2 linked regions of the Cricetulus griseus genome follow. The protein of the gene in region 2 purifies or fractionates together with the protein of the main gene of each other region. This does not show direct contact. Links are inferred from orthologs where the notes say so. Each region holds a gene or a part of one and is shown on either strand. Other genes may lie near its edges.

The links.
Region 1: the proteins of Pinx1 (region 2) and Tert purify together in Homo sapiens (co-immunoprecipitation; 3 studies listed by BioGRID and IntAct, with this or other methods). This does not show direct contact. The link is inferred for Cricetulus griseus from reciprocal best matches to the Homo sapiens genes PINX1 and TERT.

The regions. Positions count from the first base shown.
Region 1 is NC_048595.1:368,297,403-368,308,019, reverse strand, and holds the start of Tert (telomerase reverse transcriptase), read right to left. Parts: upstream 6,943-10,617; 5' UTR 6,558-6,942; coding exon 6,339-6,557; intron 6,244-6,338; coding exon 4,908-6,243; intron 763-4,907; coding exon 567-762; intron 1-566. UniProt on the Homo sapiens protein: Telomerase is a ribonucleoprotein enzyme essential for the replication of chromosome termini in most eukaryotes. Active in progenitor and cancer cells. Inactive, or very low activity, in normal somatic cells.
Region 2 is NW_023276807.1:218,885,458-218,896,017, forward strand, and holds the start of Pinx1 (PIN2/TERF1-interacting telomerase inhibitor 1), read left to right. Parts: upstream 1-4,741; 5' UTR 4,742-4,862; coding exon 4,863-4,881; intron 4,882-5,052; exon of another isoform or gene 5,053-5,197; intron 5,198-8,127; coding exon 8,128-8,237; intron 8,238-9,883; coding exon 9,884-9,976; intron 9,977-10,560. UniProt on the Homo sapiens protein: Microtubule-binding protein essential for faithful chromosome segregation. Mediates TRF1 and TERT accumulation in nucleolus and enhances TRF1 binding to telomeres. Inhibits telomerase activity. May inhibit cell proliferation and act as tumor suppressor.

The sequences.
Region 1 (10,617 bases), on a different chromosome or scaffold from region 2:
CACACCTTTAATCCCAGTGCTCAGGAGGCAGAGGCAGGAGAACCTCTGAGTTCAAGGCCAGCTTTGTCTACAGAGCTAGTTTCAAGACAGCCAGGGCAACCTTGGTTAACATGGCAGTCTGATCTCTGCAGGCCTTGCCTGGCATCTATTCTGCCTCCTCAACTTGGTCTATGTACTTTCCACTGGTACAGTAAATCCCAGCTCAACAAGCAAAGAACCTCAGCCACTCAGCGCCTCCGCCAGCTCTTGGGGTGGAATCTTGTGGTTTCCCACTGAGGAGGCTCCTCATATTGTACTTCCTTCAGGACATAAGGTAGAACCCATCTGACCCATGTACCAAACAAGCAGCTACTCTACTCCTGTTTGGTGCGAATTCCTCCTACGTTATTGAGCCTATAGATGGTGTAGGCCCAACTTAAGATTTTACAGGTCAGAAAGCAGGATCTCCAGTCCATGACTACATGGAGTCTATGTCCTGAAGGCCCATGGACAGGCTAGCAGGTGCCAAGCACTGTTGAAGTCAGTATACGTAAACAGCAAGCACCGACAACAGAGATGTGTGGTACCTGACTCCAATGTTCTGCAGTCTTCTCCATACCCTCTTGCGGTAGAAGAAGAGCCGGTTCTTCTGGAATGTGGTCTCTGTGACGTAAAAGAATGACCTAAGCAGCTCTACCACGTATGTGTCCATCAGCCAGAACAGGAACATAGCCAGGATCCTTTCCCTCGTACGGTGCTCTTCGGCTGGGACACAGTTGTTTCCTGAAAGCAGTAGATACTCAACACCCGTGACTCACCCCACACCCATGATGTCCAGCATGGAAGCCATGGGACCCCAAAATGAGCCCACGAGGTGTTACTCTGGACATGGTGGGTTCTAATAGAATGCATCAATAAACTAACTTAACCTTTGTGTGTGCGCGGGATGGAGGGTGGGGGGGGGGGTGGGGGATGGGGTGGGGTGGGGGGGTACGGGACTTATTTTTGGTAGGTCATAAACTAAAGTTCTCTGACAAAGCCATGTCAGTAATGGGATCCTGCAGGCCTAGTGACTAGAGATAGAACGCTGCAGACTGAGAGTGAGATGCTCTTGAGCATCTCTGACTTGCATTCTCTTGAGCCATCTCTCACTCCCATTCACTTCCAAGCTCTGAATCTGACCTAGCACCTTGTGACTCACTATCCAGTGAATCTTTTGGGATGGACTGACTCAGCAGACCCTGACCTCTACCAACTGCTAAAGCTAAGAATGTCTTCAGGTAGGGGCCAGAGGCATGGCTTAGCTGGTAAAGTGTTTGCGCTAGAGGCATGAAAACCAAGTTCATCAGAACCCACTTAGAAAAGCTAGGTATGGCCTGTGCCTGTAATCCCAGTGCTAGGGAGGCAAAGACAGATGGATCCTATCTGAATCATCAATTCCAGGCGATTAAAGAAAATACCTGATGTCAACCTCGGGCCTCCACACACATGCACAGGCAAACCTCAATGGGTGCTGGGCCTGTACTATTGGGTCACAGACTACACGCTCACTGCCACTGAGCAGAGTGTGGTTCAGAGATGTGTAGGGACAAGCAGAGGACAGGTTGTTTTCACTGTCATACTGGACCTAAGGGGTCAGTGCACCACAGGCCATGATAGCTGTCCTTCCCGAAGGCCTCTGGAGATCACTCTGTATATCATCTCCAGATACCGTGGGAGCCCGCTTTACCAGGATAAAGCTGCGTTTACCAAGCAGTGATAAACATGAAGGAAACTTGTGAAGGAGAATGGAGAATCCCAGAAGGAGGCACAAGATAGAAAGCAGAATGAACAAAGAAAGAAGGAATCGGGGGCGGGAGAGATATCTCCGTGGTCAAGAGCATGCTGTTTCTCAGCATCCGCATGGTAGCTCACAACCTCCTGTAAACTCCAGTTCCAGGGAATCTAACACCCTCATCTGGTCTGCTCCAACCACCAGGCATGGCATAGTACATATACATACACACTCAGGCAAAACACTCTCACACACAAAATAATCATTAAAAATAAGTAAATAAGTGGAGAAAATGTGGAAGGATAAGACTAAATAAAACAGTGACCTTAAGAAACAAGCATGATGTTTAACTTGGGAGTAGAGAGACTGAAGGCAGAATGAAATCAGCAGAGAGATAAGGAAGGTAGTGGAGATGCTGACCCAAGTTCAAGTACCTTTAGGTTCAAATGTCAGGTGACTGCTGGCAAAGAACAGTGCACATGACTTCCTATCGCTCAAAGGTAAAAACAGAATGAAAACAGGTGCAGCAAGGAAATGCACTTTACAATTGCTCAGACAGCAAGACTTTGGGGGTGGGGGGTGGGGTGCAGCAAGAATTAAGACCAGCTGGCTGAAGAAATGGCTCAGCTGTTAAGGCTCTGGCTGCTTTTTCAGAGAACTGGGATTTGAGTCCCATCATCCACGCGGTGACTCTCAACCATCTGAAACTCCAGTTCGAGGTGATCCCACCCTCTTCTCCTGGCTTCTGTAGGTACTCGGCATTCAAGTGGTACACAGACATACAAGCAAAACACCCATGAGAATAAAAAATTTAAAACCAATGAAAGCAAACTGGAAATAATTCACTTACATGCTGTGAAAAAGATCTATCTGATCTATAAGAATGTGAAAAGTTTAAAAGCAAAACTTAAGGGGAGGAAAAAGACATAGCAGGGAAACACCAAAAGCAAGCCCAGGTCAGCCAGTTTGACAAACTCAGCTACTGGGCGTGTATTACACACTTGCTACCCCACTTCTCCAGAAGCTGAGGCAGGAAACAGGGTCACAAATTTGAGAGCAGCCTGAGCAATGTTGCAAAAACCTGTCTCAAAGGGAAAAAAAAAAGCTTTACATTTAAAAAATCACTACAGGCTGGTTGGTGGTTGCACACGCCTTTAATCCCAGCACTCAGGAGGCAGAGGCAGGCAGATCTCCAGCCTGGTCTACAAAGCAAGTTCCAGGACAGGCTCCAAAGCTACACAGAGAAACCCTATCTTAAACCACCCCCTTCCAAAAAAAAAAAAAAAAAATCACTACAGACATAATATCCTGATTCTCTAATCAGAAAGATAAAAATTCAGGCTAGGTGTGGTGGCACAGGCCTTTAATCTCAGCACTCAGGAGGCAGGGATAGGCAGATCTCTGAGTTCAAGGTCATAAACAAGTTACAGGCCAGCTGGAACTAGATAGTAAGACCTTGACTCAAACAAATAAATAAAAGCTTGTAACTAGTACATACACTTAACAACACTGCCTATAAATACCACCAGAACAAGAAGAAATAACTCTAGTTGTCCAGTCATAGACAGAGGTATCCATCCTTCCTTTTTCACGGCCTGGAAAGGATGTGGACATTTCTTGTATAAACCTGACACAGTGAACACAAAAGCCTCAGCACTCAGAAATGCAAGGAACTTGGGAAAACTAACTAAGCAGAAGTGCAAGTTTCCAGCGCCTTCAGTTAACTAGTATTATAAGGACTATACTACACAAGAGCTCAAAATCAATTTAAAAGGGAAATCAAAAAAAAAATTCACATTTGGAATTTAAAAATTCCTAGGTAATAAATACATCAAAACAAAAAACAATGGAAGATCGAAAATGCCCCAAACCACTGATATCAAAATTATCATATATGTAAGCAGTAGGTGCAGCTAAGGCACTATCCAAAAGGAAATGTGTAGCCAAATACCCAACCTATGATGATAGAAAGCGACAGCAAAAAAACTGAAGAGGTGTGAATGAAATTAAAAGAGAACATTCCACACAGAAACTGAAAGTCAAAGGGTTCTTGGAGTAGGAGAGACATGTCCAAACAAATCTGGAAGAGCAATCATAAAGTTGGGAGCTGGGCAGAGTCACAGTAGCTTATGTCCAGAAGGAGAGCAGCCATCTGTCTTAGGAGACGGGATGTACGAGGGGCTCCAGTATTTCTCTAGTGACATCTCTGTAACCCTGGGCAAGATACTGACAGCTGTGGCTAAGGGAGCTCTGGGGCTGCAAAGGGATGAGATGACAATGCATGGGCAGGTGGGATGACTTACAAGGGCCACAGAGGCTCTCTGCTGCAGCTGGGAGAACCAGGTGTGTGTATTGATATAGGCTCACTCTGGAGCTCCCAGAGATCACCCACGGTGGGTAAACATGGCTCTGCCATCTTTTCCCCTTAAGTTGTAAATATCCTAGGAGTTTGGGAGAGGACAGAGCAGCAGCATAGGGAGTGTGGTTCCTTTCATAGACGCACAGATTGGTGACAGGAGGGCTTGCTGAAAGGAAGAGGACCAACCTTAACATTAAACCAGGACAGGGAGGGCACAGGAGTCCTGGCTCTACAACCGCCCAAGTAACACTGTCCCCCTTCCTGCAGCAGGCTCGGTTCTCCTTTCTGGGGTCCATTTGCAAAACTAAGATGGGACAGGGATCTTCACTGTAGGAAAGTCTTTCGTTATTTCTCCTCTCTCCACCTAAACCTTTCGTGGACTGAGCAGCTGCACCACTACAGCTCACGCATAGGTCTTTGCACTGGGAGAAACAGAACCCTTAAACCACAGGGGCCTTAGCATCGAGGCACTGTTCCACAAGGGGATCAAGAATAGCCTGTAGCAGCTCTCACTGGAGCTTCTTCTCACCGAGTGCCAGTATTTCTACCCACACTATGCACTCCACCTGCTGTTCACCAGTGTCCCTGGCCCTGAGAACCTGCCCCAGGGCTTGGACAAGAATCTTGGTTAGCACAAACTGGGCGGGAGGGAGCTTGGAGTCAGAGATCATCAGATGGGACTTGCCCAACCACTGACTGCATAAAGACACTGCACTAAGGCCTTGGGCTCCTGCCACTCATTGTCTCCCTTTTTTGGACCCTTACTGCATTCAGCTGGAGACCAGCCCTGCTCACCTGGGCTGCTGCGAAGCCAGGGGCAGTCTTCTACTTTCATCCTCCACATCAGCTCTTGCAGAGAGAGCTTGCCATACTTCCCCAAGGAGATGAATTGCTTCACATTCTTAAAGAAGCGCCGCTGGTTGTGCCTGGAACCCCAGAGACCTGGAGGCACCAGCTTTCGGATACAGGCCCGTAGAAAGCCATATACCTGCCAGGGACTGCTGTGTAGGCGGAGCAAATTCATGAGGTGCGGCTGGCTGGTGGTGTTCAAGGCATCGGCCACCTGGTGGGTTGCTGTAGGAAACCTGCAATGTGACCTGAGGAGTCTGACATACGGGCACCGCGCATGGTTTACAAGCAGCTGCTGGAATAGGGGCCGCATCTGCCAGTAGCGCCTCGATAGGCGGCGTGTCCCACAGAGTGGTCCTGATGTCCTAGGCCTAATGCCTAGAAAGATTATCTCCACCAGTCTCCTGGCCCCAGTCAAGCTGGGCTGGAGGTTGTTGAGTAGGAACGAGGGGTTCAGCCTCTCTCGGCCACCTCCCCTAGAGTACAGGAAGTGTTTGGTCTCAGTATATGGTCTGAGCCGAAAGGCATCTTGGCACAGTGGTGACTGCAGGAATGTGGAACTGAGCTTGTGTTTACAGCACGCTGACCCGGGGCGACTCAGGCCAAGTGCCTTCCCTCCGGAAGACAAATCTTCCTTGGTAGTTCTACTAATAGGTACTGCAGGGGACTCAGCAGGATTTGGCACCCTTGTTTTGTCTGATGGGGTTGGAACCGCCTGCCTGTCGGGTTCCTTCTCCAGTCTCTGGGCCAGATCGCACCTGGCCTTCTTGGATGAAGGCACACTTCTATTGGTGATGCTTAGACTCCGCTTTGTGCCTCGAGATGGCAAGGGCAAGAGTTTACATGCTTCCTGGTGATTGCTGTTCCTGACCGAGTGTGTGGATCCAAGATGAGTAAAATTTCTGCCCACGGATCGTGTGGGCCTGTAACTGGGGGGCACAGAGGGACAAGTATCCGCGGTGGCACAGATTTGGTACAGGGGTGGGCCGCACACCTGGTAGGCACAGCTCGGGGGCACTAGCAGGTAAAGCGCGCAGCGGGCCAGCAGGTAGACCAGCAAGTCGTCGCCCACTCGGTTCAGCAGAAGCATCCATGCACCACTGACGCGCAGAGACTCAGTCACCGAGTTGGGCAAATAGCTGCGCACGTTGGTTGTGAAGGTCATGGGTGGCCCGCCTTGGGCTCCGTTAAGAAGCGCAAAGCCAAAAGCCAGCACGTTCCTCTCTCCGCGCTCGCAGAGTCTCTGCACGACCCTGGCCACCAGCTCCTTCAGTGATGACACCTGGTAAGGAGAAGAGGGTTTTGAGCTAGACGCGCTGTCCCGCGTCCTCCCGGCTCTCCGCCCCCGACCCACAGGGATCCAACCCGGAGGCCCACCTGGTGGAACGAAAGGTCAGCAGGTGGAGGTTGCGAGCCCCAGGGCACACACACTAGGCACTGGGCCACCAACGTGCGGAAGACTTTTGGGTCTCCGGGTTGTACAAGTCGCCTGCCCTCAGGTCCCAGGCGCCGCACCAAGGTTGCCAGCGGCCACACCTCGCGGTATCGACTGCGCAGCAGAGCGCGCACGGCCCGGCAACGGGGCGAGCGAGGCATCGCGCTCAAGGTCCGGCCGGGCCTCCCACGTGCGGGAACTTCGATGTAGGGCTGGGGTTAGAAAAGCATCAAGACCCCGGACATTGCGAGCCGGCGGCGGGAAAAGGCGGGGTCGGGACGGAGGAAGGGGCGGGATCGAAGCGGACCAAGCGTTGTAGCGGAAGAGGCGGGGTTGCACCAATGGCGCCTTTCTGTCGGTGGTCCCAAGGTTCAGTGGTTGCGGGAAATGTAAAAATAACAGAGGGAGGTGTGGTCACAAAGGGTTTCCCTCCACAGAGAGTTTGTTGGCTCCCTTGCGCTCGGAGCTGGGGACCCCAGGTGGTGTAGACTGGGGCAGGGTCGCAAGCAAAGACACCTGTTATTGATTTATTGAAGGTTCTGTAGGCAGAGGGATCTAAGGTCCATCCTGCTCCAGAGCCGGCTGCTGCCTCCTGTGAGTTCGGTGCAGACAGTGGGTGGTGGCAGTCCCAGTTCTTTCCAGTAAGGCTTCATAATTAGGGCTGGAACTCTACTGTACAGGTTCTTAAAGCTTTATTGTGGCCCCACCATAAGCTCAGCTCCCCAAAAGGTTTCCTTAACATCTGCCACCAAAGGACGGGGACCAGGTGAAGCTGTGCGTCCGCTTTTCTTACTGTCACAGCAGCCTTCACCCCAGGGTCCAGAGCTATTGGTCATCTCCCACTCAGGCACGGTGGCTAGACCAGAGTCACTGACCAAGGGCACTGAGTGTGCACACAGCCAAAGCAGAGACCTCGACCTCAGGATAGCAGCCCCTCTAACTCGAGGCTGGTAGCTTTAACAGTACTTGAGAGTGGGACAGTGTGGGGTGGGGGGGGGGGCACAGGGCACTGGCGCTAGGGGTCGGGGACATCAATAGTGACACTACCTAGAGCCACAGCTAGGGCCTTGTGAAGTTTGAAGCGCTGGGAAATACAGAATCTGTGCTGAATTTGGCAAACACTGAAATGCTAACAAATGTAACCTTTGGTGCCTTCAGCTTTCTGAGGAAATTGCTTCTATCCACCGACCTAGCATTTGAACAGACCTGGAGCCCTCCCGACAGGCGCTTTTTCATGTTTACTCCCTTGTAGGAGGTCAGCCGCCTTCTAAATGCTTGGGATTACAGTTGCTATTTTAGAAGTCCATTTAGTGGGTGTCAGCCTCTTTTAGGGGTGTTTTTGAGGTTTGCTGAGTACTGCTACTTTGGAGATTTGGGACTGAACTGAGGAATTTGTGCCAACAACCAAGTGTCCTTAGTGTGGTTTCCCAAAGAAACCAGCATTGAAAAAACAGTTTTAAAAATTAGAATATAGCTGGGCATGGTGGTGCATCATTGTAATCCTAGCTCTTGGGAGATGGAGGCAGGATGATGAGGGGCCATTCAAAACCAGGCCAGCTACGCAGTGAGTTTAAGGTCAGCTTGTGCCAAGTTAAGACTCTGCCTCAAAAGACAAAGAGGAGAAAGGGAGTGGGTGGCATGTGCTGACTATACATGAGACCCTGGGTTCAAGGCCAGAGTCAATAAATAAAAAAGACTAGAAGAAACCAAAGCAGAAAACATGTGTAGAAGCTGTCCATGAGCTATGATGGAACCAGTGAACACACACACACACACACACACACACACACACACACACACACACACAGGGGAGGGATGTGTGTGCTGGCTAGTAACAGTGTGGCTTAGAAAGCTGTTCTTACAGACACTAGACCAGGCAGAGGCTGCCCACCAGGAGCTATGCCAGAGACAGCAGGTGGTAGCTTAGAAACTCCGAGGAAAGGGGGTAGAGGACTCCTAGTGTCCCTACCCATACAGGGAGACATGTCTGTAGGAAATCCCTGGGGACCTGTAATGCTCTGGCAGCAAGTGACTCCAACTGGATTCTCCCCACCCAGAATCTGGGCAAAGCACTGGATGTGATACTGTTCCGGTGTAGCTTGTCATGTGCAGAGATCACTGGAACACCGATTTACTTCTTAGTGGTCAAGATGGGGATATCAGAACAGAATATTTCATTTACATAGCTAGTCATAGACCCGTCAATTTCATACCCATCATTTATTTTATCAACGTCAAACAGCTCAGGAAGTATGAGAATGAATGCCACCAGAGGCTGGTGACTCCCTGACTTCACAGATGGCACCTCAAGAGAGTATGTCCTGGTTCTGGGCTTGAAAGTACGGGCACTGACCAACTTGGCCTCTTCTTGGGATAGGTCACCTTGTGCTGTTTTCTGAGAGCCACTCCCTCACTACTGCCACCTTAAGCCATGCTGACACCACCTCTTTTCTGTTTGCTTCGTCTTGCACATCAAATTGCCTATGAAAACCAATAAAAAGTGCTTAGGGCACAAAAATCTCTTTGAATGTCGTTATTTAATCCTCATGGCTTGGCAAACAGAGCTCAATTCCTTTTTTACATCTTTGGATTTTCGAGACCTTGGAGGTTATTTGATGAAATTTAAGAAAACAGTAAGATAAACTCATCCACTTGGACTTGGAAAAGGTTGTATTTGCTTATAGAATTAAGTTTAATTTCGCCCCTTGGAAGCACATGGCTGGCTAGCCTATGTGGTCCTTTCTCAGAGAATGGGGTGTCTGTGAAGCCCTTCAGAAGAGAGGTTTCTTCCAGGCTGGGCAAATCATCAGATCCAATGGGAGCTGTTTGCAATCATGAATGGCAAGGGAGAGGAAGAGAGAGGTGAATGATTAAGCCACTGACTTCTGACTTGAGAAAACAAGTGTTCAGGTGTTGAGGATTTAAAGAAGGTGCTTAACCCCTTCTTTAAAGAGGCAACCCTGCCACTGCTCAAGAGCTGAGGAAAGCCTAAGCCACCATGAGATGACTTGAGTCCTTCTGCATGCTGCATCTAGCCACTGCCACCGCGTCTTCCGTTACTGCAATAGGTTCTTAATGCCACTTTAAGAACAGCTGGAAAGATCTTTGAAAGATACTCGGGAGTACTTACCATCCTGCTCAATACACCCATCACAGGCTTCTCATCACCTCCCAGTCTTTTACTCTGGGTTTCTGATCCTCACACTATGGCTTCTGCCTCACCACAGTGTGTGTGTGTGTGTGTGTGTGTGTGTGTGTGTGTGTGTGTGTGTGTGTGTGTGTGTGTGTGTGTGTGTGTGTGTGTACATGATTCTGAAAACAATGCTGGTCCCTGCCAAGTCCTCAAGTCCTTCCTGAAATATAACAACAAACATTTCACATTTTAGGTCTTAGGATTCATACAATTCAACAAAATACAAACATAGAAGCAACAAACAAACAAACAAAGCCTCCTTCAAACACACAGCACTCAGGAGGCTCAAACAGGATTGACATGAGTTCAAAGTGATCCTGAGCTACCAAGTAGAACTCAGTTAAAAAAACAAAAAAAAAATTTTAAAGTCCAAGCACAGAAAGCACAAGAATGAGGGTAAGAACAAACAAACAAACAAACAAGCAATGCACCCGCAACAACCCCCACGGTATTGTTAGATGTAAAAATCCCATTTACTGAAATTGATTCATAATATGACATAAGTTTATATTTAGAATACAAAATCAGGAAGGTGGGATACAACTTAAGAGCAGGTCAGAAGAGAAGCAAATAGAGCTTCTAGAGATAAAATGAACATGTAAGTCAAACGAACAAAAATTTAAATAAATGAACCAGGTATCAAGTAAAGTTATCTTTTTGTTTTTGTTTTTCAAGACACAGTTTCTCTGTGTAGCAGCTCTGGCTGTCTTGGAACTTGCTTTGTAGACCAGGCTGGCCTCAAACTCACTGAGATAGGCCTGACTCTGCCTTCTGAGTGCTGGGATTAAAGATGTGTGCCACCATCATGCTCGGCCAAGTAATCTTAAAAGAAAACAGGTAATATGCTGGGCGTTGGTGGCACATGCCTTTAATCCCAGCACTCAGGAAGCACAGCTGGGCGGATCTTTGTGAGTTTGAGGCCCGCCTGGTCTCCAGAGCGAGGGCCAGGATAGGCTCCAAAGCTACACAGAGAAACCCTGTCTCGAAAACAAAAACAAAACAAAACAAAACAAACAAACAAAAAAAAA
Region 2 (10,560 bases):
TACTAACTGGCCTCAGTGTAAGCAGAGGAATCTCTCCCCTACACCAAAGGCTTCTGGACTGAGAGTTGGAAGTAACTGGTGCATTTGGGAGAGGAAAAGATGGTGAAGCAAGGACAGGAAGTATGGAGGTAAGTGGTGGCCTGCCTGGCCATGCTGACTCCAACAGCACTGTACATTGCATTGGCCTCCCCACTAGCAAGGCTAGCCAAGACCACACTGGCTCTCTCACTCTGGCCCCTGGATGTGGTCTTTGATAGAAGGCTACAAGAGGGGCCTTGCAAGGGAAATCCAAGGACACTAAGCTGAGAAGTTGGAGAGGAAAACTTAGTATTAAAAATAAGGGTATGAAGGTGAGAAGAGACTAAATAATTCTGGGTTGTGTTTACTGGATATAAAGTTGTCCTTCCTAATGTGAGAAATCCTGCAGACGAGTCACTGAAGTTACAGGCCTTCAGACCAACCCCAGAGACATCCAGAAGATAGGGCTCTTATGCCTCCATTGGGAAGCTTTGTTTCCTTTCTTCTCACTTTTCTTTGTTCCATTTATTTCCTGAGTGCATGCTTGCACGTGCGTGCCAGTGTGTATGGCCATGTCTATGGATTTCAGAGAATCTTGGTTGTTGTTCCTCAGATGATAAACTCAGGTGTTGTTCCTCTGGTGCCTTCTACCTTATGTTTGAGGGAGAGTCTGTCACTGGCCTAGAACCTCACCATGTATGTTAAGCTAGTAGCTAGTAAATAAACTCTAGGGATCTGTCTCTCTCCACCTTCCAGCTTGCCATGAATGGGATTGCAGCTATGTGCAACTATTTGCACCTTTTTATGTGGATTCTGAAGATCTGAACTCAAGTCCTTGCACTTGCAAGGCAAATAATTTACACACTGCGCCATCTTCCAATCCCTAACCTGGCATTTTATTGTGAAGTTATGGGAAACACAAAATGTGATATAATCATACTCCATTTTTAAGTCTTTTGCTAGAAGGTTCACTGAAGGTGGGCAGAGTAAGCAAGGAGGCAAGGCAGTAGGAAAGGAGGAGAGCTGCATCAGTGGAACTGAATCTACGGGGCTACAACAGTTTTAAAGCATGTTCACCAAACAGGTGGTGGTAACAGAAATTATGGACAGGATTCTCTACGCTCCCTTGCATGTATGGACATAGTTCATTTTCAAACTGTGCAGTTTGGGAAGAAAGGGGGAATCCATGACTTGAGATAAAGCCATGTCAATGTCAGAGTGTCCTCTTCAGTGCAAGGGACTTCTTGGAGAAGAGGAAGAGTGAGCAATGGAAACAGAAAGAAGTGCAAAAAGAGTGCTTTGATCAGATGCAGGAGTCCAGGGTGCTGAGAGAGGAACATGAGCCTCAACAGTTGGCCCAGGTCCCCACAACTTTTTACATGCATAACCTTTTAAAAAAGATTTATTTTTTTATTATTTTTAATTGAGTGTGGGGGGAGGGGAGGTGAACTTGAATGCAGATGCTTACAGAATTCAGGAGAGGGCTTTGGATTCTCTGAAACTGGAGTGATAGGCAATTGTGAACTGCCTTAGATGAGTGGTTGGAATTGAACCTGGGTCTTTGCAGGAGCAAGAATTATTCTTAATTACTGAGCCAGCTCAAGCCCTGTCCCTGTATCTTTCTATTCTCCCCTTCCCACATACCCTGATGGTATTTTCCGGGAAAAACACTGAAAGAGGAAGCCTGCATCCATCTTCAGTCTTTTCTTCTAAGAACATATGACCCTGGTCCAAGAGGCTGATGACTAGACTGTTTCAGGGTTCAAGTCAGTATTTTAGAAAGGAATCAATTGCCAATAATATAAAATAATATCAGTTCTATGAAGGGACCAATTTGAAGACATGTGCACCAGGAAAATGATAAGAATTCCCTCTGGTACACTCATCCCTAAGTATCTTTCCTAAAATTCTTCTGAACTGATGAAAATTTTTGGCTTACAGAGTTTTCAGCTGTTTAAAGAGGGGCTGGGTTATGAAAGAGATGTAGGAAACTTGTAGTAGTGTTCTTAAACTAAAATTCCTCCTATAAGTGTGAATGTATTCACCCTCCTAAATATTTGCATCAAGGGAATGAGAGACCCTTTCCTGATTCTTTGCTCTTTAGGAATATGGGTCTGGAATGTAAGATTATCACTCTATGCCAATGTGTAATTTTGCCTGTCTTAGTCCATTTGAACTGCTACAACAAAATACTTAAATTGGCTTTTAGATAACAGAAATGTATCCTTCAAAGTCCTGGAGACTGAGTCCAAGGTGGAATGGTTGCCAAATTTAGTTGCTGGTTCCCAGATGCTGTCATGTTGCTGCATTCTCAGAGTATGTGAGAGAGAGGAGGAAACCTAGATTCTTTCTCTTAAAGGCAGCAATCCCATCCCGAGGCTCCCTCTTTGTGATCATACAACCCCCCCAAAGACACCCACCTACTCATGACATCTCATTGGGGATGAAGGTTTCAGCACATGAGTAAATCTCATGATAACAGATTGGCTCATTTTGATGTATAAGAGAAAACTGAGCCTCCTGGTCCCTGGCAGTTGGGGTTGTGGGAGGAACTATTGCCAGCAATCCCTGCAACTACCTGAGTAGCTGCTGTCATTTGCCACACACTCCACCCCTAGGGGGTTACAGAGCTCTAGCAGCCCCTGGCCATTTTGTGCAGTGATGAGGCAGTATAAGCATACTTTTCTGATGCCATGGCAAGTAGAAATTGAGCCATTCCTTTTTTTTGTCTTCCCTCTCCCTTCATCCATCCTTCTTTTTCTGTTTTGAAGTGTGACATCTCTTCTTTTTATCTCTGAGGTTTGAAATATCACCTTGATTCAGGAATTCCACACGTTAAGGTCTTTATTCCTGGGAACGGCACACTAAGGCTGGTAATAGGAAAGGATATAGCAATCCCTTGCTCAGTCAAGTTCAGGCTATACATGGGTGAGCTTCAATCCCCATCAACTAACAATAATAATGAAAGAGGAATGATTATGTAAGGCACAAGTGCAGCATGTCAACATGCTGTCTTCCTGGAGAATCAATCAGATTTAGCAGAGGCCAGGACAGGAGTTTCACTATTACAACTACAGAATATTTTTACACAGTGCATGCTGAACTTCACACTGACAATCTCAGGATCTTTTCTGGTTGTCTCTTACTTCCACTATGATTAATTTATCAGTTTACTTTTTTTTAAATCACCAAGACTAGTTTCTGCTCTAGAAAAAGTCATGATAGAAGCAAGTACTCTAGTGTCCTAATCAACTTGCTTAAGACTCCAGACCTGAATTGACGACATACTTTCTTTTCTGTCCTCTACAACCTTGCTCATCAAATTCTTCATAAACAGGGGTAAATGGACAATAGAAGTTGACAGTGCTCCCTAAAGATGTTTTCAAACAAAAAATAAAGGTTTCCAAAGGTAGAAGATGCTGTGATCTAAGAACACTCACGGGGAATGCCACGCATTAGCCAATCCTCCTTGTCCTGAGGAGATCCTCTAGAGAGGAGTGAGAGGCTATACAATAAAGCCTGTATCCTCACCGTGTGTGAGGAAATGCTCCTGTGTGCCCTCCTGCTTGGAAGTCCACCGTTTTTCTGGCCTTGGGAGTGGTGATCTAGATCAGCAGCACTGGCCCTAGGAAAGGGCAAACTGGAAAGGTTTTTGGTCACAGTCCAGGTGCTCTAAAGGGGTGATTTGGTCAAACCTAGCCTCATAGTTGCAGTGTCATACCTCCGGCCTTTTCTTTCTTGTTTATAATTCATGGTCAAGCACATGACCCTTCTTAGCTGAGTGTTATCAATCTCCTCATCTTACAGGTAAGTAGATGGGGGCAAAGTCACTTCCGATTCTCAGGTCTGTTGACTCCCAGTTCTGAGTTGTTGCCCCACCACAGCCATTAGACAATACCACTTCATTTCCCCAGCACACTGCGTCCTAGAAGGGCTGCACTGACTGCAGTGCGGTCTACATGGGTTGGGTAGTTGGGTCTGATGAAAAGTGGACGTGGCCTTCCCAAGAAGAGGAAATGAAGAAGAGCCCTGTGAAGGACAGCGCACTGGCCAGTGCTCAAGGCATGGCTACAACAAAGATGTGAGAAGAGCTAAGGTCTAGATGGGAAGGGAAGCCTTGGCAAAGAAAGGGACCCTGGAGGGAGAAGCTAGAGGGAAAAAGCAAATACACAGCTTGGGGGATAGCTGAGGTCAAAGGTCTGGAGGAGAAGGGATGCAATGTGGGCGCGGCAGAATGTGGCAGGATGATTTCAGCAAACGCCAGGTATGGCAGATCTAACAATGGGACTGGGAAAGGCCTTTGGGATTTAAGTTTGTCACAGTGAAGACCTTTGAAGAGTTAACATTTCTCCACCGTTGAGCACAAAAACACATGGTGCTTCATTTGCCTTTGCCAGCTAGATGTCTGTGTCTGCTTTTTCTCCCTCCCTCCTCGCTCAGCATTCCCAATGAGCAGAGGTAAAATGTGAGGAGCACAGGCTTCCTTCCATAGTGCCAAAACCTTCTTCTTCAGCTGTCTCGCCAGCTCTTTAAAGGCCCCCAGGACAGAACCCCCGAACAGCTCTAAGGGCGCTTGCACACCCATTTTCGGAGTTAAACTATGAATTGCTTTTGTCCCACAAGCTCCGGCCGAGCCCTAGAACGAATCTGGATCTCTCAATCCTGCAAGGCGGTCCCGCCCCTCAGCTTCACGTGGTTGATAGCGAGTCGCGTACAGCTGACGTCACTAGTATGCGCCCCCAGCGCCCCTTTCCACCCGGCGTGCGCGCCTAGGGTTTCTATCTTATCCTCTCTTCAGACCCCTGGGCTCCCGGTCAGAGGCGGCGCTCGGCAGATTTGCGACAATGTCGATGCTGGCGGAGCGTGAGTGTCGGCCGAGCTGGGCGACTGAGTGATGGGTTGACGGGCACTGGCCACCGAAGTACCCAGGGCGGGGGGGGGGGGGGAGTGTCCGAGCTCCGGGTGGGGACCGCAGTGACTGCCGGGCTGGCGCGGGACAGACAGCGATGTCCCCGGGACTCTGTTCCTGGTGCTAAAGGCTCGGGTCGCACGTTCACGTGTGCGTTCTGAGGTTCAGGACACCAAGTCTCAGACTTTCCCTTGCGCGGGCCATCGTGGCCACCTGGGAGGATTCTTTCACTTCTCCGGGCTCAAGTGTCCGGAGGTTGGTTCCAGAAAGGTGGGTCCCGCAGCATCGCTTCAGGCTCTGAAATTCAACTGGCCAAGTTGTGTTGGACCCGAAGAAGAAAAGCGGAAGCATTACAAGTGTCAGACACTGAGTAGTAGCCCATGGCGGGAGTGCAGGCTGCTGCTGAATGGTTCCAAGCGAGATTGAGAGGGTATCCGTGGTTTGAGGCGACGTTGCCTCTATGTCTTTGACACTTGAAGTCCACAAATTCCCCTCCTTAGAGGCTACTTTTACTTATAAATAATAAGTGTAGCTATGAATTCTTGCCACCAGTAGGCAGTCGTGTGATGTTAACTAAGAACCGGCTTTTAACTTTTCCTGGAAGTTGTGTGAAGCTATTAAGGAGCTTAAACAGATATTTTCTTTTTAAAAGATGATATTATGCATTTTAGAACAAGGCATGTTTTAGTGATTCTTATTCCCCATCTCCCACTACCCTACTGCCAACCCTGATCCCCGGTGCCAGTCTGGGTTCTCTGTTTGTAGTTTGCCCCCACTCTGTTTTCATGGAGCATACTGCACATCGGGCAGGCAGCTCAATAGTTGGAGTGGAGAGCGTCCTTTCTAGGTAGATCAGTTGATTCGACCCTCTTCCAGGCAATTCAGCTGGTCTCTACTAACATGAAGTTGGGGCTCGTTTCTGCCTCATCCAGGCTTAATAATCCTGGTGAGGTGATTGCATCAATACAGATTGGAGTGTCAGCAGTAGTATACAGGGGAGAACAACTGACCTGGCAACCAGTTCCTTATATAGCATGGCAATGCATCTTGGGTAAGTATGTGACAGGGATGCATTTCTGATGGGATGGGTAGGCTCCTTACAAGCCATGGTCAGCAACCCCGGCAGGCATTCTCTAGACGTTCATCAGAGGAGACACACATGCAGACCACCAGCTAATACGACTGTCTTTACTGTGTGCATTAGTGAGATAGTGTGCTGAGTATATACCAGGTTGTTGAGCCAGGTGAAACAAGTTTTTGGATCAGCTCCCCTCCACCCCCACCCCACGCAGGCATAACACTGCAAATTTGAATCCAACTCAGTTTGGTTTGTGGTGTTTTATTGTTTTTGTTCTTTTTGTTTGTTTGCTTCTGCCTGCATGCCTGTGAAGGGATTCTTGTTTTTGCTAGGGTACATATAGGTAAAGATCCCTATTGATTTTACATAAAAGACAGTGAGCCCTTTGACAAGGGGCTGTGTTATTTTTCAGTTGGGTTATGAGGCTGTTGATAGTGTGCTTACATGAGTGCAATGGGTGAGCAGTAATAACATTCGACCTCCAGATTCCTTACTTGGCCACAGTTGACTTTGGAAGTTTAGATTCTTGTTTTATTGACCTGGTGGGTTCTTTTCTGCCATAGTTTTCCCTCAAAATTGTAAGAGTGAAGCCAAATGTGGTGGCTCCTGCCTGTTTTCCCCAGCATTTGTAGAGCTAAGACTAGAGATTGCCACCAAATTCAAGGCCACCCTAGTCTACAGAGATAGACTGTCTCAGAGAAACAAACAAAACTATAGTGATGAACTTGTTCTTTTTTTTAGATTTATTTATTATATATATAGTGTTCTGCCTGCATGTATACCTGCAGGCCAGAAGAGGGCACCAGATCTCATTGTTGATGGTTGTGAGCCACCATGTGGTGCCTGGGAATTGAACTCAAGGACTGCTGGAAGTGCTTTTAACCTCTGAGCCATCTCTCCAGCCCGAACTTGAATTTTTAATTGTCAGTTATTTATATTAATTCCAGAGAAAAGTTTCCATGCAATTCAAAGCAGTTCCCTTATTTCAGCTATTCATTCCTTTCTTCCTTTTTTTTTCTTCCTTTCCTTTTTCTCCTTCTTTCTCATTCCTTCATATACTCATACATTTTTATCAGGTGCTAGCTATATGCAAAGTGCTTATTTTCCTTCTTGCAATGAAACATAAGAATGAAGAACTGAATATGATACTTCAGGGATATAGAGTAACAGGACACATGGAAGATGGGTATAAACACCACAGTGCAGTAGAATGTGAAGTGCCACTGATTATTCTGGAGGCTCAGTGAATACGCTGTGATTTTTATTAAGAAGGGAGGTATATTGGCTGTTAATCATAATGTACAATTAACTTTCCATAAGTTGTGTATTAAGAATATGATGAGTTGATCTGGGCATGGAAGGTGGAGGCAGGAGAATCAGGAGTTTAAGGTTATCCTTAGCTATATAGCAAATTTAAGGTTAGCTTAGCACCACATGAATCTCCATCTCACCCTTCCCTTTAATAACTTTTGAAATCCATGGAACCTTGATTTGTATAAAAGGTTTGGGTTTTACTTGGAGATGTTAGGCAGATATTATTCTCCTAGACTCGGGTCTTCTCATCTGAAAGATAGAAAGGTAAGAGTATCTGCCTTCATCGAGATACTGTGGAAATTGAATCTAATGTATGGGTAGCATTTAGCCTACAACATGAAGCAGTGAGCATCGAGGTGCCTGCACCTGCTGCTGTGGTTGCTGCAGCTGCCAGTGAGTATGAAGGTGGCTACAAGAGGGTCTTTGGTTGTTGCCAGTGACTGGATGTGGATGCTTTCTTTTCCTTTTTTTTCTTTCTGTTTTTGATTTTTTGAGACAAGGTTTCCCTGTGTAGCGTTGGAGCCTGTCTTGGAACTAGCTCTTGTAGACCAGACTGGTCTCCCAAGTGCTGGGATAAAAGGCATACGCCACCACCACCTAGCAATTTTGCTTTCTTTCTTAAAGGGAATATTTTGCTTTGAATTTTGCAAGATTAGTTTATATGCCAGGAGTGTATAATTACAGGGAAAACCAGGGGAATGATTCTATTATCCTCTTGGACACTGAATGTGTCCTGTTAACATGCAAGCATGTTCTGATTTGCATGTACTCAAGACTGGTTGCTGATGACATGCCTTTTCATTTACAGCTCGGCGGAAGCAGAAATGGACTGTGGATCCCAGAAACACTGCATGGAGCAATGATGATTCCAAGTTTGGCCAGAGGATGCTTGAGAAGATGGGGTGGTCTAAAGGAAAGGTATCGAATCAAACTCTAAAGTATTTGTGCCAAGCCTGTAGATCACAAATCAGAAGATAACCTTCTTAGAGTCTGGGAGAACTTTGTGCTTTAGGTCAGTAATTGATTTTGGAGAACTAAATTGTGGCCAGGTGGTAAAATTAGACTGGAACATGAATACCAGGTCTTCTGGTTCCTGCTGTAATATCTTTCTTAGATATTTTTCAATTCATTACACATGAATCATACTCCAGCTTCAGTTTTGTGTTTCTAAGAATGGTACTTAATTTTCCTTTGGAGTAGATGCATCCTGTCTTGAATCCCTTATGACCCACCCACTCCTCACTATAGTGAAGCTTTTAATGTGAAACTATATGTCCTATTTCTGTCAGGGTTGCAGGGCTCTTGCTGAATTTAGTGGGTGTAAGGTATCCTTCAATTGCCTCACCCTTAGCAGTGCTCCACAAGGTTGTTTTGTGGAACTTTGTTGTGGTAGCATTACTACCCTTTCTCTCGCCTTGTTCTTTATCACATCAGCTACCTCTAAATCATGGCCATCTTCTATCTCTAGACTCTTGAGCTGTGGAGCTGATTTGTATAGTCTGCTTGGGTGACCTCATTAATTACCTACCATGCATTGAATTGTGCCTCCTAGCTGTGATACTTAAGTGGCCACCTCAAAATTATTTTTTATTACAAATCTCTTGTCCCCTAAAATCTTCTCTTTTCCATGTTTCCCTGGCTTTCAAAGATGGTGCTAACTACCCAAGCATTCAAGCAATGCCACTTCCCATTTCCCTTCTGTCCTTTCACCATACCACAACCAGAAGAGCCTTTCAAACTGAACTTTAGATCATGTTGCTCCCTTGCTGAAGATATTTCCGAGGACTAAAATCTACATCTTGCTCCAACTTTCAAGGTCCTGTGATATTCCATCTCTGTTTTTATATTCTTTCCCCATTCACCTAGCTGAAGCCTTCCTGGAGGCCTTCCATGTCCTGTAGTCCATAAAGGTCTGTTTCACTTACAGTCTCTGTACTTGCTATTCCTATGACCTACAACCTTAGGAATGAGAGCAAGGTGAAACCAGGGTCATGGAGTGCTCCTCCACTTTCTTTCTTGATGTCATGTTGTAGTATCAAGTAACAGAGAATGTGATGTGCTCCACATGCTCCCGTAGGCTTCTGCCACTTGCTGTAACAGTGCCCTACTCCAGAACATACACAAGATATGCACTTTACACAATGTCTTCATGGACCCTGTATTAGTTCTTGGGTTCAAGAGGCAGCATTCACAATTAAGAATGCATCCTTGGTGCTGCAGACATTATCTTCCAGAACCTTCTGGGCCAATGGTTCTCAACCTTTTTAATGCTGTGACCCTAATATACAGTTCCCCCTTTTGTGATGACCCCCATCATAAAATTATCTCATTGCTACTTCGTGATTAACTTTGCTACTGTTATGAATCGTAATGTAAATATCTGATATACAGGATATCTGATATCTGACCCCAGTGAAGGGGTTGTTCCACCCTCAAAGGGATTGTGACCCACAGGTTGAGAACCATTGTTCTGGGCTGTGTCTTTTTTGAATAGAAAGAAAGCAACAATTTCTCTTTGTAGTTGATGGGGTTATATTTAATCTCTTTCTGTTTAATATCCACAGGGTTTGGGAGCTCAGGAGCAAGGAGCCACAGAACACATTAAAGTTAAAGTTAAAAATAACAATCTGGGACTTGGAGCTACAAACAATAATGAAGTGAGTGACTTCTGATGTTTTCTTTGCAGAGTTGAGTTGTATCAGCATAAATTGACATTTGTGCAAGTAGATGGAATGGTTTTAATTAAAAGTATGGTACCTACTTTGAGTGAAGAAAGACATAAGAGCACTTGGTTTAGCTTTCCTCATCCTGTGACTTGCATACACCACCGTTGCCTTGTCCTCCTGGATCCTTTACTTAGTTATGGCCTAGCAAGGCACTCCTGTTTTATAGCTGAACTTTGTAAAAAGTTTTTTCAAAGAAATGTTCCTTTCAGAACAGAGCCTATTTTTATCTTTACCTGTGTCCTAATACTAGTTTGTCTTATTAATGCAGGTAGCTTTGAGAGTGGGAAGTGATGGAGGAAAGCTGGCTTGTTTCTGACTGTTGGTGTTCCTCAGTCACGTGTCCTGTTGAACACAGACTCTGCACTTGCAAGTCAGCAGCTGCCAGACTTTTCAGGTTTAGTACCCACTGCTCCTTTTCATTCAGAGTCAGACCTGGGAGCTTTGTCCTGACCTCTTGTAGCAAACAGAATCCAGTAAAAACAAACAAACAAACTGGGAGAATGACTTTATGGAAA